Linked DNA regions of Drosophila melanogaster. The protein of the gene in region 3 interacts with the protein of the main gene of each other region in a pairwise test. Each region holds a gene or a part of one and is shown on either strand. Other genes may lie near its edges. The genes, in order: trn, Ets97D, TwdlJ and Ama.

Region 1 (6,104 bases), on a different chromosome or scaffold from region 3:
GTTCCCAGGGGCAAACTTCGACGGTGAGTTGGCAACTTTCTGGTCCGCCAGGTGGCAGCTGCATTGCAGGTGACAATGAAGGGGTGGCTGTACCCATATATACACTTATACATATATATTTGTATATGGTAGTAGTTACACATGTGTTTCCATGCACATTGAATTGAAAATTATACCTCTTCCCCACTTGCCACGCTCTGCTTGAGTCGGGTCTGCAAAAGTTTTCAAGCTTGTTACTATTGAATAATAGTATATTAATTTTACTGCATTTTTTATTCCCCCGAGCACGGTATGCAAGCCCTCAACTTACTTTTAATTGAATTGAAAGTCAAAAGTTTTGAGCTCGTGGAAAAAAAAGTGAAAATGTCGAGACAAATTGACACAGAGGAAAAGTTGCCGGTGCACAGGGAAAATGTATAATTAAAGGCAAATTTCCACGGCAGTATGCTGGCTGAAAGGAAAATCTGCTAAATTAAGAGCAGAATGAACACACACAGTTGTATTTTTTAGTTTTCAAATGAGTTTTGTTTTCATTGCGTATATTTTCTGTTTTCGTTTGATATTTTGTTTTGTCGCTTAAATTTGCATAAATTTCTTGTTCTAACTAATACATAAATAGTTGTTTGCATCTGATACGATTTTGCATTTAACAATAAATTAAATAAGTTAAAATTAAGCTTACGTTGACTCTCAGTGCTTGTTGTCTTTATCTAAACTCGTATATCATTTACAATTCATCTTAAAGACTACGATTAACTTATGTTCGGAGGGGGACGAGGAAAACAGTAGTGTTGGCAAAGTGCTGATAGAATTGGAGATCCTTCAGTGTTCTATAGGTTCGAAAGAGTGCTTTAAAGTTAAGTATGTACAAGGCAAGATTTTCTCTGACTTAATGCCTAGGTTGTATTTCGATTACAGCTACTACAATGTTTTCCTTACGCCTAACTACACGCTAATTGTGTCTGGAGGGGAGTGAGTGGTTTTAGTGGGCTTCTTGGGGGTTTTGGCATCACAGTGTTGGGCAGCGGACTACTAAGCATAGATGCTCAGCTGCCTGCGTCGATAGGTCGAGGATCAGTGCGTGAACTGACGCAGGGTGTTGTTGTTCTGCTGCTGCTTCTGAGAGGCGGACTTCTGCTGGAAGGATCTGCGTCCTGTGGTGGCACACAGTCCATTCCGCAGGGGCAAAGCTGGTGGCATCGGTGGCGGCGTGGGCGTCTTGCTGCGACCCAGTTGCTCCAACGGCATCGAGTAGTGGGTATTGCTGTAGATGTAGTTGTGGTCCAGGATCTCGCTGCCCATCTCCTGATCGTATAGCTCACGCTGCTTGAAGTGCTCTTGGGTCAGTCGCAGTTGCGGCTGATTCGGTCCACCCAACGGGGCGCCATGCACCATGGGCACATCCGCGTATGAGTAGCAGGAATCACCAACTGTAGCCGTGGCCGAGAGGAACTGCGGCTTGGTATAGTGGTTCAGCTGGGGATTCTGCTGATGCACATCCCGACCCATGGTGGCCGACTTCATGTGCAGCACAAATGAGGCACTGTCGTCGATGGCTCCCTGTGAAACCAGGGCCTTGTTGTTATTCAGCTTCTTCTCACTGATCATTGTGGCGGTGGGCACTACCAACTGTTGGAACTTCTGCTGGGGATCGATGGCGCCCAGGTCATTGACAGGCATCGGGCACATTCCATAGTGATGGGTAGCTCCGGGATGATGAGGTGCGGTATAGGTGTTGGGGAACGTGGAGTGGATGCCCAGGGAGCAGGGATGATGCTGATGGCGCGACATGTAGTCCTCGTCGCAGAAGGTCTTCTGGTATTCCCGTTCCTTACGGCCCAGAGCCGAGTTACCCCACAGACCGCCCTTGATGGTTTCGCGGATCTTATGACGGCAGCGGTACAGAACCAAAGCCAAGGCGGTAATCGTGGCAGCAGATCCCACCAGGAGAGCTCCAATCAAGGCCTGCTTGCGAGGATCGGCATGTGTGCATCCCATCATAGCAGGATTCAAATGGCGCAAGGATTCACCGCGCAGACGTTCGGGGAACTCACACAGCAGTTCGGAGACATCATCCTGACTGGCATTCTTGGCCACCAGCAGATTGTGCAGCCACATCACACGGCAGTCGCAGGACAAGGGATTTTCGGAAAGGTCCAGAGTCTGAAGATCCTTCCACGGGAACAGACCTTCTGCCAAGGAAGTCAGCGCATTGGCCTTGAGAACAACATGCTTCAATTGGGACAGCCCACTGAGGGCACCTTCTTGAACCTCCAAAAGCATTTTGTTGGACGATAGATTCAGATACTCCAGGTTACCATTGTCGCTGAAGGCTCCGGTCATCACACGCTTCAGCCTAAGAGCTCCATTCACCTCCAGGCGTTTAAGTTGCTTCAGGCCCATGAATGCGCCTTCGCTGATCACCTCGAAATCGTTTTGACCCAGGGACAGCTGCTCCAGACGAACCAGCTTGCTGAGACCCACGGAGGGAATGCGATCCAGACGATTATCGGAAAGATCAAGAATGCGCAACTCCTGCAAGCCGAGGAAGCTGTCGTGGGAGATGTTGCGTAGACTGGCACCCTTGAGTTCCAGGCGAGTAAGTCCTTTCAGGTCCTGGAAGGCATCAGCCTGAATGCTCTGCAGGGTGTTCATTCCAAGGAACAGCTCAGCCAGACTGGGCATGGCTTGGAAGATCACGGGATCGGGAACGGTGGTCAAGGCATTATCATCCAGATAAAGGATGCGCAACTGGGAGAGTCCATCGAAAGCCTTGGGATCCAGATAGCCGATGCGATTCTCGCCCAGATTCAGCTCCTCGATCTTCAGGAGAGGAGTAAAGGTGCCCTGGTGAAGTTCCGAGATTTGGTTACCACGCAGATTCAGAACAGTAACTGCCGACAGACCAATGAAGGTCTTATTGCTGATCTGCCCAATCTTGTTGTGATTCAGATGCACCTCCTGCAGCTTCTTCTGATAGGCGAAGGTGCGCTGCGGAATGGTCATCAGGTGATTCGAGGACAGATCGAGGAAGGTCAGCTCCGCGTAGAACTGGATGGACGAGTCGATGGTCTTGATCTTGTTGCTCTTAATCACCAGTCGCTGGATGGATGGATTCAGAGCAATGGGCAGCACGTCCAGCTGGCCCTCGCCACATTGTACCACCAGGGTATTATCATCGCACTGACAGCCGGGCGGGCAATTGGCCAAGCCCGCCGCAGGCTCCACACCAATGCTGGCCAAAATGCACCAGATGCCCACGAAGGCGATCATCATGTTTCGCTGCATCTTGGGATCTCTGATTCTCTTTTGATTTCTGTCTTTCGGTTTGCTTCGCTCTGTGCTGCTGTTTCAATTCTTTCAGAGTTTCTGTTGATTTTTTCAGTTTTCCATAGTGCTGCGGGTAGACAAACGAGGGAAAAATTTTCAAAATTAGTTTCTGTCTTTTCTGTGAGTTCGGTTAATTAGCCTATTTTCGTGGAACTATTTCTATTGATTAAAATTTACAGGGTTCTTGAAGCAAACATTTTTATGTTTTCACAAGTATTTCATATTGGATATATTTTTAGATTTGGTGTTGGAAAAATCTATATTAAGTTGCTAATGTTTCGGTCCTAATAAATTCTCATTTTAGAAATTTCAAACTCAATAAATATTTAAAGTCAGTAATTTAACTGAACAAAATTAAAATGTTCCAATTATATTTTTCGTATTTTATATTTTCTGGCAGCCTAACTTTATTTTGTTGAAACTTTTCTTCCGGTATTCTAATTTCCACAATATTCCACTTTTTCAGCACTTTTATAAAATGCACATTGTATGCCACAAGTGAAACTTACCTAATGTTTTTCTTTGATGATTGCTTGGCAACAATTTTTAGTTTTCAGCAGATTAAATCGTTGGTGAACAGAACATAAAATGCAAAATGCAGTGTTTCGGTTTTTGTTTGTATTTTGTGATGTGTTTGCGTTTTCACTGTTTCACTTTTGGAAAAATATTTTGAATAGCCAATTTTTTGTTTTGTCACATTTGCTCAACTAAAACATGTGTGTTGTTCAAAATTAAAATTTTGGTTTGTTGTATTGCTTGTTTCGTTTTTTTTTTTTTTGTTTGCTGATTGTTTGTGAAACGTGCGCGATAATCCAATGGTTCGCTTTGACTGCACGCTTCAAGTTGTTGTTAGGCGTTCGACGGGTTTCCGTTTGAATTTACGTATTTCGTGTTACCAACTCTGGTAAGAGAGAGGAACTTGGTCGCAATTGGGTCTCTATAGCTGGCAGACAACCGCTCACGACGAGGCAACGAACTACACTGATTTTACGAAGTGCCTGCTGCACAAACGATACCTCGGCTGGCCACTTTTGCCGGGGTGGTTGAGCGGTACAGAGCGGTAACAGAGCCGTTTGAGCGGTATGAGATGGTGGTGGTGGTGGTGGTGGCTGGCAGCTGCATCGGACATGGGTAAAAAGAGCGGCGTGGCTGAGGCGAGACGGCCTTGCGAAGGCGAGTTCTCTCAGATAAACCCGCCAGCAGGTAGTCGGAACTGGTTGTGAGTGTCGGATACAAATGTATCTCTAGTTGTCTCTCTCGATGGAGAACTCAGTGTGGCGAGTTTCACTCGAAGTTTCCACTCATTTATCTGGCTATACGTGCCCCATATATCCAGGCTCGCTCTCCGACAATTGCAACTCACACGTTGAACGAGCCGCACGTCCTCGACGAAATGCTGTCGCCCATAAAACCTAAAACTAGAACTGAAATAGTCAACGAAAAAAGTAAAAAAAAAACAAAACTGAAGAGAAAACTAAAACAGCCCAAGTGCTGTGGCATAATTAAGACCCCATAAAAAGTACATAGTCCTACGCAGAATAGGAGCTAGATGGATATTTATGGGCCGCAGACATGTCCTGGCCTAAGTGGAGCCTTTTAGTGCGGTTTACAGTCCAAATGTGACGCACTTGAAATTGATATTTTTGTATCTGCGAGTTTGTATCTCGAGGACACGAAAGTGTTGCACTCGAGTATTTCTCAAAAAATATTGTGTCATCTGATACATTTGAGATGCATTTCTCATTCTTGGCATGCAGAGCAAACAACTATTTACAACTCGGCAAAATCACAAAAAAAAGAACGGGAAAAAAACAACTGTGACAACAAGAAAATCAACTTTAAATGGCCATAACTTTGTGCCAACATATGTTGCTGGATCAGAGGGGACCGGGGTGGGGCACATTTTCCGGGCCTTACGGCATGCGGTTTTCCTCCACATTTTCCACAGCCAAGCCCCCCTGCCCCACCGACATAACTGGCATATTTCCGTCTCCGAGAATTTCGCACACAAAATTTATTTATCGTACCGAGATGCAAATCTTTTTCGACTGCTTTTCTGTATCTTTCATAAACTAACCAATAAGTAAACTTGTTAAATTTATACCATATTACCCAAATTTGAGGCATCTTTGCGTATTGAAAGCCAAGGCAACTGTTAATAGTTGCTTGACCATAGGATTTTATGAATTTGATTTGTTGCCTTTGAGAGAAAATAAATACATATACATAATTTATGACAGAAGTAGTTTTGGAAAATTTTCGTTGCCAAGAGAGATAAATTTAGCCTTTAAACATGTATTTCAAAACTCGTCTTTACAATTTATTTAAAGTAAAAAAATTTGATTTGCCTAACTTTGTTGGCAAACATTTTTTTCGTTTCTACTCTTTTGCTGAACTGAAATCTAAATTAAATTGTTGGTTCAATTTCTACATTATTAAATGGGGTACACAACCTATTTTGAATAATAAACCAACTATTGGTTCTCATACTAAAACCTTACATTTGCTCTTTGATGAAACATTCATAAAATTGCAGGCCTTTAAAGATCTGTTTCAAGAAATTAAACAGTTTTGCTGACTTCTTAGAGAAAGGCTTTGGCGAAGTATAATAATAAACTTGAATACAAATGCAGGAAATGCAAACAAATTGCCATAACAGCGGCTTGTAAGAAAAGTATCTTTGGCTTGTAAACTGCCAAAGTGCTCTACATAGGTAAAGACTGCGTAGTTTCCTTTCAAAAACCAGATACGAAACACACAGTGATTGCTGCACA
Region 2 (4,171 bases), 280 kb from region 3:
GGCCGGCGATCGGAGCAGCAGTGCCTCGGCGCAGCAGAAGCTACACCTGTTTGGCTCGCTGATCAGCCTGCACGAGTTCGAGGAGCCGCGGGCTTCGGATCCTTTCGGCAGCAGTTTCAACACGCTGAAGAGCGGCAATCTCATCTCTGATCTCAACGCCAGCTCGCTGTGGCTGGAGGACGAGTTCTACAAGCTGGGCTTTCGACCGCAGGACGAGATCACCACGGAGCTGTAACCGCATCACAAAACTCATACTCAAAACTTAATGCAAACTAAGTATTACCCCGGCTGGCGGCGCTAGCCGTTCGAGTCTAGCGCCAGTTCAGCTGGGGGAATGGAGCATTTGCGTGCACATTCCGACAGGCCATCATCGACTTCGACAAGCTAACTGGGAGGCCGTTTAGCCGGAGCCGCTAAATGCCCACGCTTAGAGCTTAGTTAGATCAGTTAAGCAAGCAAACTAGTCACGTAAAATCACAAACAAAACCATCAACACACAACGATGCCGAGGAGAAGGAGCTAATGCAAATGCAAATGGAAATCGCGTGGAAATGAATTTAGTTTTATGGATTTTACAAAAATCGCAACAATCATGTAACGAACAATATTCAATATACACACTATAGAAATACTATTCAGATAATAACTAAGATGATTAGCAGTATAAACGCGATACTTATAGCTATAGCTTATGTAGACAGAGATTATAAACCTTAGCGAATACGAAATGGATAATAAAATCGTGTGCCTTAGGATTGTAAAATATGTAACAATTTGTATTATTAACCAGGCGCCGTCATCCGACCAAGTCAGCCAACGCTAAGGCTCCTCGTACTTCCAGAGTATGTCGGGTTCCTCCTTGAGCTTCAGCTCGCCATGTCACGTGTCTTCTGTAATTGTTTCCGTTGCGGCTACGCGCTCGGGCGCCGTTTTCCCCTCGCTGACCAGCGTGGATAGCTCATTCGCATCATAGCCGATCAATAGCTTCAAATCGCAGTCAAATTTGTATGCGAATCGCTTGCCGGACACCTTGGAGATCATATCCCCATCGTAATAGTAGCGGAGAGCCCTTGATAGCTTTTCGTAGTTCATAGCGGGTTTGTTTTTCTTCTCGCCCCAAAGGCGTGCCACTCGATCCGGGTCAGTGAGCTTAAATTCTCCCTCGGTGCCCACCCACTCAATAACGTCCGTGTGCTCGCAGTCGGTGAGTATTTCGAGTAGGAACTGCCATAGCTGCACTTGTCCATTATTCCCGGAACCGATGGTAGTGTAGTTTGATGGATTCATGGATGACGTAGTACTTTCAACGGCTGTGAACGAAGTAGATATTGTTAGCTCATGCTTTGGTGTAACATTCACACGTCTACTTACAATCAGAGCTCTTGACTGACTGATAGGATTTCCGCATAATCCGCTGTTCAAGCGAAAGGCTGCCCCCTGAATTGGTCGATATGGAATTGGCCGACATGATTCTTGGTTGCTTGGGCTTACGCTGCTCCTCCGCTCGTTTGTGCACTACGGACACGAAATTACATTCTTTTAGCAGCTGGAGGTGGGTCCAGAAGATGTTGCCTGGATCACGGGGCAGCTTCTGATTGAATTCCTCGTGCGTCATTGCGCAGAGTTCCTGGCCATTCATTTGCCAGTCGCTCATGTTGATGCCAACTAGTTCGAACTGCTTGACGGCCCACTCCAGCCAGTACGTCACGTGTGCGTGTGTCCATTCGTTGGCCGCCTCGGGTATCTTCAGGCGTATTTGTTCTCGCTTAAACTTGCTGTCCAGGACCCAATTCAAGACTGGCTTGACATCCTTGCCCTCGACGGATTCCTCTTCGGAGTCTTCCTTGTGCATGCGCTTGAGTGGGGTTTTGATGGGGCTTTCGCTGGAGGAACTCTTCTGGCTGGCCGTTTCCGGCGGCGAGAGCTGGCCCACCACCTCCTCGGCCAAGGCAGCCAGTGCGGCCTCCGTGGGCTTCAGGACGTCGGCGATGTTAATGCGCTTGCGAATAGTTTGTATCTGCACGTTGATCTGGACCAGGCCTTCTCCCTTGACGCATTGGTCCACGAGATTCTTGTGCGATTCCAGCTGCAGGAGAGTGGGGGCTTAGGTAAACATTTTATTACGCCGCAGATAGACTCACCTCCTGCGCGTCCTGCAGCCAAAACGTGTAGTAATTCAGGCACACTCCTATCTTTTGCTCAACAAGTGATCTGTGGGTAGAAATGAGGGTTATTTGCATGACTAATGGGGGCCAGTCTTCGCCAGACTCACTTGAGCATGCTGAGCGGCTCCCGGATGTCCATGTGCACGATGATGATGTCGTCCGGCTCCGCCTCCGTCTCCACATCGATGCTATCCTCGAACATTTCGCTGGCAATCACTTCTTCTGCAAATTGTTTACAATTAATAATTCGGTGTAACAACAGGTGCGTCCCAATTGGGAAATGGCATCATTCCACTTACCCAGGGCACCGCCAACGCTGAGGCGGCGTATTAGCTCGTCCGACAAGTCATTGCTGCTGTTCATCGCGGCTTAAAATCGCAAATAACTGCCTATATTAACAAAATGTTTTTAACAAATTTGTCTCGTGGATTTATTGTTGCATCTTCAGTGTGACCGTGTACGTCGGGTGTGGCAATACCGAATAATACTAAGTGGCGTTGGTACAGGGCTGCATAGTCACTGGCCAGTATTGCCACCAATTCTATCAGATTTCAAAACTCTGGCGGTTCTTTTAAAAGTGATAAAAGTTTCGAAAAAATGTAAATATGAATGTAAGTTAGCAAGTCTGAAATACAATATTTGCTTTAATGATGAAAAAACTTAATAGCATCATATATATTTAAAGAAAAACATCAATTGTTATTTAGTTTTAAAAGAATACATGATTTTGTTATAGTTTTTACTGGCAAATATTTTGCCAGTTTTGAACTATTTTCAAGTTCCCTTTTCCTGTGTGGAAATTCATTGATCAAAAATTTCTTTCATCACCAGCTATTAATATTTTGAGCCTAACGATCTATAAAAATTAGCAATCTGGTGACAAAATGTGTGCTCGCCCCCTCAAGTGATTTCCTAGAAATGCCATCGAAATTAATTGAGGAATTCAATTCGCAACAACAAGTCGATGCTTAAGACACCCACTTGTGGTTGAGTGGTTTGCTCTTCATGCGATATCTTTTCGCCACTTTCTTTCGCTGCAAGACTCAATTGGCCGACACAATTGGCCATGTTTGTGCGTCGGCCTGACTAGGAAGCACTTGGGTGTTCCCACAGGCAAGTGAAGTGGCCAAGTGCTGCTCATTTTCAGCTAATGCTGATTAAATGCCCCGTAACACGATCAGTGGGTCAAAACGGCGGGACAATGAATGCCAATTGTGCTATGGAGCAGAGGACAGCCTCAAGTGCACAGAGTACTTGTTAACACAAGCGTTTTTCCATGTACCATGTACCGAGATATGGACAAAGACGGCTCCCGGCCTGAATAGTCCGGAGTTGGGAGCATTACCTCATGCTGTTGACTCAGTTGGCATAGTAGATGAACGATATTTGCTTGCGAATATCTTGCTGATGACAATGTTTGATTTTGATTTCGGTATTAGCTATAAGTGATTCAATGTCTGCCACGAATGTTCTGGCACATCATCATCCCCATATTGTGCAACCTTGCAACTTCATTTTCCCCTTTCCGTTTCGTGTCCGAAAACGAGGGAAACTAACAAGCCAGAGTGCGGATTTTGTTTTATTTGGGGACTAACTCTGCTTTGTTTACTTGCCAAGCTGTTGACTAATATTAGCCAGCTGGTCAAATTCAGGCGCTTCAGGTCAGTTTTTTTTTTGGTTTCATTTTGCGTACTTTCCAGCCATTTGAAGTTGAGTCATTGTCAAAGTCGTCTCATTTGGATATTATTAGATGTGAGTGGTAGTGAAATTTCTATCTTTCTTTCTCACCACACAAACCCTTATTACTCATTATATGCTAATGAGGACTTATCTCATTGCACGTTAAGTATACGCCGCATTGACCTTCTGGCAGATAGAAATCTATGCAGACCGAAAATTGTCTAGGTCATGACACCCAGCTGCAATGGGGCAACAAACAGATGAACGAAACCAGCCCAATGACAACGTGGAAAACTCACTCAAAACCGTTAGCGTACATAAAACTA
Region 3 (3,226 bases):
CGTGCAATTTGTCAAACCGAGTGCCATCTCAATTTCGAACCGCGAAGTGCGTAGGTAGGCATGGGCAGCCAAGTAGCCGATAAGCCATATGTTATACACCAGATTATACAGATTAACACGAAGCAGATTATTCAAAGCGATGCCAGAGAAAACATCTTAGGTTTCCGCTCATTTGCAATTTTCACAAACAGCTTAGCCGGACGGACTCATAATTCAACGCAAGTCGAACTTGTTTGCCAGCCGCCGAGTGCGAAAATGTTGTGCCTCGGAAATTTAATTCTGGCTGATAATATGCCTAGGAATGTTGGCCGCGAAGATCCGCAAGCCAACCTAATAATTTACATTTTAAAACAATTTTATTAGGTCTTCAAATCTAAACAATAGCACAAGAATGTCGGGAATTTCAGGAGCATCCAGACTATCTTATTACGTATTTTTAATCCTCAAAATAGCTGATTATACCATTTATATCAATAGCTCTCAAAAAGAGTAACAACAACTTAAAAATTTATATTATTAAACAAATTTATTTCGTATTATAATCTCAACAATAACAAAGGAAATGCCAGGAACTTAGAAACGCAGGCGGCGCAGGATGTTGGCGGGCAAGTAGGAGCTACCTGGGGTGGCAGGTGGCACATACGAGGAGATGGGTGCAGTAGCCTCGGGCTGGGAGGCGGGCAGGAACTGGGCGGGCGCTTGGCTGCTGGCAGCCTGAACAGGAGCGGGCTGGGAAGCGAAGTTCAGGGTGGATGCCACTCCACCATCTTGAGCTTGCGAAGATCCTCCCAACTGATCGTACTGACCCTGAATTGCACTCTGGGCGTTGGCAGCATCCTCGGGAGTGCGGTACTTGACGAAGTGCACCTCGGGCTTGTTGTTGTTGTTGTTGCGGATGGAGTTCAGCTTGTTGGCCAGATCTCCAATGTCAGCCTGCTTGTTCAGGACATAGATGGCGGTCTCCTGCTGGGCAGCCTGCTTGGCCAGAGCCAGAGCGGCATCCTCCAGACCGCGGTTCTCGGGTCCCTTGATGAAGACCACGCGGAGTCCCTTGTTCACGGCGTTGGCAACACGGTCGGAGGCAGCTGGGTCGTAGAAGTCACCCTCGTCGGCGGTGTAAGTGAAGAACTCCTTTTCGAGTTGGGCCTGAGGAGCAGCGTAGTTGGGGGCAGCAGCGGATTGAGATCCTTCCAGGGCATCAGCAATGGATGAGGGACCGGGGCCAAAGGATTCACTGGGTGCAGGCGCGAAAGCGGGTGCATCGCTACTGGCCGATCCAGATGGCTGGAAGCTCAATCCGGAGGGAGAGTGGGCCACCGGTTGGTAATTGTAGCCGAGTTTATCGGCTCTGGCCAAAACGGCGAGGCACAGGCAAAGAACTACGGAGAACTGACGCATGTTGAGCGGGTGAGGTGGTTGTGGGATTTGATGATGGTGTGAGATGGTTCTTTCGCTTTTATGCAGATGAAAGCCACTGCTATGCAAAACGCTCTGCATAAAGCGGTCTAATTACGGTCTTAGCCAACTAGATCAGGCAGTACCGGTACCACCCCGCTAAAATATGCAAGCGAAGCGGGTGGCTGCATCATGAGGTCAACGTAGAAACTCAGAAGGAAGAGGTACGGGCCATGTATGAGCCGGAGCTGGCGCCATAAAATTCATATTAAATTCAATATGCTGCCTTAATCAATAATTCGCGTATTCTTCGGCGCCGCTTTTGGCCAGTGTTGTGGGCCAACCTTGCCATTTTGGTATTTTCATGTAGCTTTATCGTTGAAATCAATAAAATCTGGCTATAAAAAGCCGCGGACAGAGCATCAAGAGCATCGTAAACCTCATTTGGGGCTATTTAGATGGATGCCTTGTTACTCATGTATCACATGTGTATCACAAATCCAAACCCATTCCCAGTTCGCCCGGGATGAGAAGTGTCACCTAAATCGGCCGGAGAGCAAACAAAACGTTTGACAGGCCGTTTCACATGCAAATGAGGCGCGCCTAGTCGCGTTACCGCTGCCAAAAATAAATATTTTAACGATTCGCCAAATTATTATTGCCTTATTCAGCGGCTTTGTCTTGTCGTCTTGGTCGCTGTGTTTAGCTGCTTTATGCTAATGTTGCGGGTGGAGGCGACCTTCCATCCGCCGGAAGTGAAGAATCGAACTCATCGCTAAATATAGCAGCCATCTTTACTTAATATATATACATGGTTTCTGATCGCCTAGGCCGGTTGCCAATTAAAAACTGCACCACTGCGCCTTGTCAGCGCCAAATCAGATAATTCGATAATTGGTCTCTTAATAAATTACTTGGCGCCATCTGATTTGGCAATCCGAGTCGGACTATGAACCTCCTCACTGGCCAATTCTGGTTAGCTCATAATTTGCATGCCGCTTTCCGCAGAGCCAGTAAAAACAAAGCCATGCAAAAATTTGCAACCGCAGCAGCAGTGTGACGAATCATAAAATTATATTATAAATTTAACATTTTAATCTCTTATTTATGCATTTTTAAGGCAAATTTGAGCTGTTCATAATTCATATCGCACCATACTGCAGCCGAAGAACTGAATATTGCACCTATAAAAGCCAAAATTTCGACTCGATAAGTCAGTAACCAATCATCTTTGCCATCCAAACAGTCAACATGCGTTCCTTCGTCGTCCTTTGCTTTATTGCCTTGGCCACGGCCGATAAACTTGGCTACAATTACCAACCGGTGGCCCACTCTCCCTCCGGATTGAGCTTCCAGCCATCTGGATCGGCCAGCAGCGATGCACCCGCTTTCGCGCCTGCTCCTAGTGCATCCTTTGCCCCCGGTCCCTCATCCATTGCTGATGCCCTGGAAGGATCTCAATCTGCTGCTGCTCCCAACTACGCTGCTCCTCAGGCCCAACTCGAGAAGGAATTCTTCACTTACACCGCCGACGAGGGTGACTTCTACGACCCATCTGCTTCCGACCGTGTTGCCAACGCCGTGAACAAGGGACTCCGCGTGGTCTTCATCAAGGGACCCGAGAACAGCGGTCTGGAGGATGCCGCTCTGGCTCTGGCCAAGCAGGCTGCCCAGCAGGAGACCGCCATCTATGTCCTGAACAAGCAGGCTGATATCGGTGATCTGGCCAACAAGCTGAACTCCATCCGCAACAACAACAACAACAAGCCCGAGGTGCACTTCGTCAAGTACCGCACTCCCGAGGATGCTGCCAACGCCCAGAGTGCCATTC
Region 4 (5,080 bases), about 20 Mb from region 3:
GCCACACAACCCACTCCGCATTTTGACCATGTGAGTGTTTACGTCAAGAGGTGAACAACTGACTGCCATTTTTTAACCATGATTGAAGAGTTAAACGCTGTGGCACTTTGAGCGGGCTCGGTTAACTTTTTGGCAAATGACTTCGGCAGCGTTAACCGTTGGAATACCAGCTCAGAATGGAGGTTACATGCTGTTTTTGGTGTCAAGGTGGGACCTTGCGGACTCAGATGGCAGCTTTAAGGAAGAAGATCTTGAAAGATCTGTTATTTAGGGTTTGGAAAGTGGCATCCAAAAAAGTTAATGGATTTTTAAAAGATTTGGATGTTCTAGCCATCATTCTAACGAAACTGTGGCTTTTAAAGTGTAAAGTTTGAATTGTTTATTGTTATAAATTAATAAGATCCATGGAGCATTGGGTGTTGTTTAGAAGTGATTAATTTTTCATTTATATCTGCACTTACCATATATTTTTAGATTCCCTCTCGATAAAACAATGAAATACTTTTGACAATGCCTTGTCTCCTGGCTTAGTTTTATTGAATGACAAACCCTTTAATTCGTTGCTTCAAGAGGTGTTTATTCTCTCATGGTATTTAACTTACACCGTATACAAGCCAACCCAACCACATAGGAAAAGACCGATTAAACTTTATCAGAGAACGTTATTTACTTAAGCATATTAATGTGTGTTTGCACAAGCCGACGGATGCAGAGCAAAATTCATAAGGCACAAGCGGTGGCTCGATCTCAAGTGTGTCCGAAAATAATGAAGTCTGAATGGGAGCTAATTGAATGAATCATTAATAATATAAACACAGACCGCATCCGGACTGGCGAATTGCCGAAAAAGCGAGACGAGAGGAGAAAGTGAGGGTTCCAGTCTTGTTGCGTGGGAATGGAAATCAGACGTTGAGGGCTTATTACGACAAGGAGGGCACTGGGATGACGGTCTGGAAGAGATGCAGTCGCGCATCGGCGTGTCCCAGCTTATTGGTGGCATTGCAGTAGTAGTCCCCAAAGTCCTCCTCGCCCACGCTATCGATGCGCAGCACAGAGGTTGTGGTTCCCGAGGAGGAGGCGGTGTTGGCCACCTCGTGGTGCCGGCTAGACTGCAGGGGCACGCCATTCTTGTGCCAAACTACAGTCGGAGCCGGGTAGCCCTGCACGGAGCACTCCAGCTCCGCGGAATGGGACACCATTTGGGCGATCTTGGGCCTCTGGACGGCAATCTGCGGACGGAACTCCACTTCGACCCGGATCAACCTCTTGTCCGGCTGGCCCTCTCCGTTCTGCGCGATGCAGTAGTAGCCGCCGCGATCCATCCGGTGCACGGAACGAATCCGGAGAGTTGGTTCGGCCAGCAAATGGCCACCGGCAGGCATCACTGCATTATGCTCGCGGGCCCAGGAGATCGTAGGCTTGGGAAAGCCATTGGCATGGCAGGTCAGCTCCAGATTCTGTCCCTCTGTCACCAGGGTGCTCTTGGGGGTGTTCTCCGCAATCACCGGCGGGGTCTTGATCTGCAGGCTCAGCTTCTTGGTCACCTTCTCCGTGGCCGAAACAAGCACCTGACACTCGTACGGACCCATGTCACTGACTTCGATGTTCTGAATGCGGAAGGTGTAAATGGCACTTCCGGTCTTGGGTCCTTCGGTGACCGTTACGTTGTACCGCTGGTCGGGCAGACTGAGGATATTCCGCATGGAGAGCACCACCGAGTTGGTGTCCGACTCGCTGGGACGCTTGGCCCAGCTCACCGAGAGCTGTCCCACCTCCTCCACGGTGCAGTTGAACTCCACAGAGTCGCCCACACTGGCCACCACGTCCTTGCTGATCTGGCTGATCACTGGGGCACTAAGCACCGAATCCAAGCTGATCGCAAGGCAGAATATAAGACCGATTAGAAGCCGCAGACGCGCCATGTCTGGTCTGTAAGAAATCAAAATAGATTTGAGATTTATTAGTGTATCACTTTATGTTGAGTCTTTTGATCGCGTTAGCCATTCTAAATATTTCGTATGTAATGGAGAACTGCCATTTTTAACCCATCTTCGAATTCAATATAATAAACTAAAACTAGGTTCAATTATAGAATAATAATTTAAAGGTCACAAGTATATCTTTAAAAGTATCTTTCAAAAGTAAATAAGAAGGAAAGAATTCTGCACACACACTCGTTTTGAAACATTTATAAGGCTTGTACACACTTTTCAGCTTTATCGTCTTATTTTAATATAATTCATACATTTCTGTTTATTTACAGGATGTTGCTGTTGATTTTGTGACTCTTTTTCCTCGACTATCTCTCAGTTCAATGTGGGTTCAATGCGCTTCACTTCGCGTTCGGGACTCGACTGAATTGAAAGAGGCGACCGAGCTCGGCTCAAAAATCCGTATCTCTGCTGAGGTTCTGAGAATCGGGTTCTTATTTTTGTATTCTTCCTGACGCGCCGACGTCGATGGCTCGGTTTCTCAAGGAAAGTCCCGAAATTTGTACACCGCGAGAATGAAGCAGATAGACACCATTATGATTGATTACCGCGGCTGTGTCTAGACAACGTTGCTTCTTAATGGATACACTGGTAAAAACGGAGATAACTTAGTTTTCCGATATATCAATACTTATTTTTTTTTTTAATGAATAGCCAGGTAAACGAAATCAATTTGATTTAAAATTAATTTTTTTGTAGTTAAGGATGTGAAAAAAGATTTTAAATGGCAGTGTTTAGTAAATAGTTTAAAATTTAGTAAAAAAAATAGTTTACCTTTTATTATATTGCATATTTTTTAATAATTAGTAACAGCTTTTTTCAGTGTATTTGCCGATGAAGAAGTCATCGACGTTTTGGATCTTATCACCCCTCGGTTATGTACATTGTCGCCTTCACAGTATTTGTATCTGTGTTTGTTCAGTATCTCTATCTGTATTTTGTATCTGTGTTTGCATTTTAGTTCGTATTTAAATTGTTTACTTGTGCGTGAGTTTGACTTCGGGCTCAGTTATCAATGCACTTTCCTTCTGGTCTTTAATTGATTTGTTTTGCTGCTCGCTGCTGTTGTTTATGCCTCTGCCTGTGGCCCTCCTGCCCCGCCCACTTGACAGCCCCCGCCCCAAGATAAGCGGTCAGTTGCAAAAACAAAGCGCCAGCGAAAGCGGCCGCAGGCGAACTGAGAGACCGCGTGCGAAATTCAAATTCAAATTCGTGCCGCCATTTGGCCATAAACGTTTCGGGGTTCGTGGAAGGACAATAAAAGGAGCAGCGGCGGGGTGGGAAAGTTGGAACTCTACCCATTTGTGTGATTTATGGCATGGCGCACTACTTTCCGCTGGCGGCTAACAACAACAGCAACGATTACGAGCGGTCCCTGGAATATCCTAGCCGCTCTGGAAATGCCAGCGATCCCAGCGCCGTCTCATTAGTGCTGTCTCTTTTGCGCCGGAGCAGGGGCGCATGCGCGAAAAGGCAAAAACAACGGGGTGGTGTACAAGGCATTGGGTGGAACTTGAATCGAGTCCTGGTTCAGCCATGCTGGGAAATTCTGAAGGATATTTAAAGAGCAGTATTCGGGAAATTTGGGTACCTTTAACTTGGCTGTTCGTAGAAATTTCTTTACACGGCTGAAGGTTAATATGTGTACTCACAGCATACGAGGATAGGAAACGTCGAAATATAACATAGTCTATATTGATTATATTTGTGTATATATATTGATGTGTTTAATATGTGTCTGGATCTCGATCAATTAGTTCCTATGGCAGATGATTTAAGGATTAAATGTGGTCAAAGGCCGTTTGATGTGCAAAATTTCACTTGTTGTATAAGCACCGAACCATTCGAAAACTTTCTGCTGCCCAAACGCATTTAATTTTCATATTTCCAGCCTGATTCCTGATCAGCCCCGGGCCAAGTTTCCCCCTAAAACCCATCGAGGTTAACCCGGCTTTACTCTGCGAGATGATTGATGACGACGCTGTCTGTCTGGCGAAGAAATTCCCCCGAAGAGCGACGAAACTATGGCCACAGTTTCTGGAAAATTAAATCACATCTTAAATCGTTTCGGTGACTTCTGCTGAAATGAGGCCGTTCCCATGGGAGGACAACTGCATCTGTCGTCCGAACTTGGACCCCCGCACTCTCACTCGTACTGCCCATCTGCCGGAATCCTCGTCGCTGAGTGCACATTCGAATCAGATAATTGTAAATTGTGTAAAATAATAAATTTCCAGTTAACTATCAACGGACCGCATAGGGCGCTTCTATTCCGTCCCTTTCTCGCTGCCCACTGACGGCTCTCCTTGTCCTCAGCTGCATCCCGGCAGCGTCATTATGACCATTGCGGCGATGCCTCTTGGATGCAGGTTCAGGTCCTGGTCCAGGTCCTGGCAGGTCCGGCTGCTTCATGCAACGCTCGACTTGGCCCGACCGAACTGGACACACACCGAAACCGAACGAAAGAGACGGCTAGACGGCGTGCGACAGAGAGGGCTGCCGCTCGCATTCAGGCGCAAGCGGATCCAAAACAGAAAATGTCAAATTTTGTAATTTATTACCCGAATCCTGTTTCTGTCAGTGACTCTTTGGGTGTTTCGCTTCAGCAGCGGCACACACGGGGGCATTCAGCATTCAGGGTCGCCGAGCGGGGAAGGGAGAAGTCCTTTGTCACACACTGCGTCTGAATTTGTGGCCCAGTTCCGCACAGTGGTATCTAGCAGATACTTTTTGTAATATTTGTAAGAATGCACAGAACTTCGTTACATTCAGAGATTTCTAGTTTCTAGTCAGATGACTAAATACAATATTATGTGTCAAAGTAATTAATTTTGTTTTTGAATAAATTTCTAAAATATCAGCTTGCCTTTAACGTAAATATAGCCTTTTCTACCTATCTTTATCTGATATAAAAAAGTAGCATTTGAAATGCTGTTGTTGCAATGGTATCGAATTGGTATTAAAGCTCTGGCCCTGTTTAATTTGTATTTGTAGTCAGAGCAACCACTGTACCTTTGTGTGTATCCTTGGGCTTTGCCTATGCGAACGTATTTTGTTTGCCTTTTGGCTGCACTCCGACTCCGTCGACT

The links.
Region 1: the proteins of TwdlJ (region 3) and trn interact in a two-hybrid assay, tested with the Drosophila melanogaster proteins (one large-scale study listed by BioGRID).
Region 2: the proteins of TwdlJ (region 3) and Ets97D interact in a two-hybrid assay, tested with the Drosophila melanogaster proteins (one large-scale study listed by BioGRID).
Region 4: the proteins of TwdlJ (region 3) and Ama interact in a two-hybrid assay, tested with the Drosophila melanogaster proteins (one large-scale study listed by BioGRID).

What each region holds. Positions count from the first base shown.
Region 1 is NT_037436.4:13,112,482-13,118,585, reverse strand, and holds trn (tartan), read right to left. Parts: upstream 4,316-6,104; 5' UTR 3,840-4,315; intron 3,398-3,839; 5' UTR 3,289-3,397; coding exon 1,075-3,288; coding exon of another isoform or gene 1,033-1,074; 3' UTR 509-1,032; downstream 1-508.
Region 2 is NT_033777.3:26,910,233-26,914,403, forward strand, and holds Ets97D (Ets at 97D), read right to left. Parts: upstream 2,655-4,171; 5' UTR 2,529-2,654; coding exon 2,465-2,528; intron 2,388-2,464; coding exon 2,273-2,387; intron 2,212-2,272; coding exon 2,142-2,211; intron 2,087-2,141; coding exon 1,372-2,086; intron 1,311-1,371; coding exon 880-1,310; coding exon of another isoform or gene 820-879; 3' UTR 543-819; downstream 1-542. Other genes in the region: T48 (transcript 48), read left to right, coding at 1-235.
Region 3 is NT_033777.3:26,628,128-26,631,353, reverse strand, and holds TwdlJ (TweedleJ), read right to left. Parts: upstream 1,437-3,226; 5' UTR 1,399-1,436; coding exon 574-1,398; 3' UTR 529-573; downstream 1-528. Other genes in the region: TwdlK (TweedleK), read left to right, coding at 2,647-3,226.
Region 4 is NT_033777.3:6,760,682-6,765,761, reverse strand, and holds Ama (amalgam), read right to left. Parts: upstream 3,170-5,080; 5' UTR 2,783-3,169; coding exon 2,766-2,782; intron 2,583-2,765; exon of another isoform or gene 2,246-2,582; intron 1,930-2,245; coding exon 921-1,929; 3' UTR 501-920; downstream 1-500.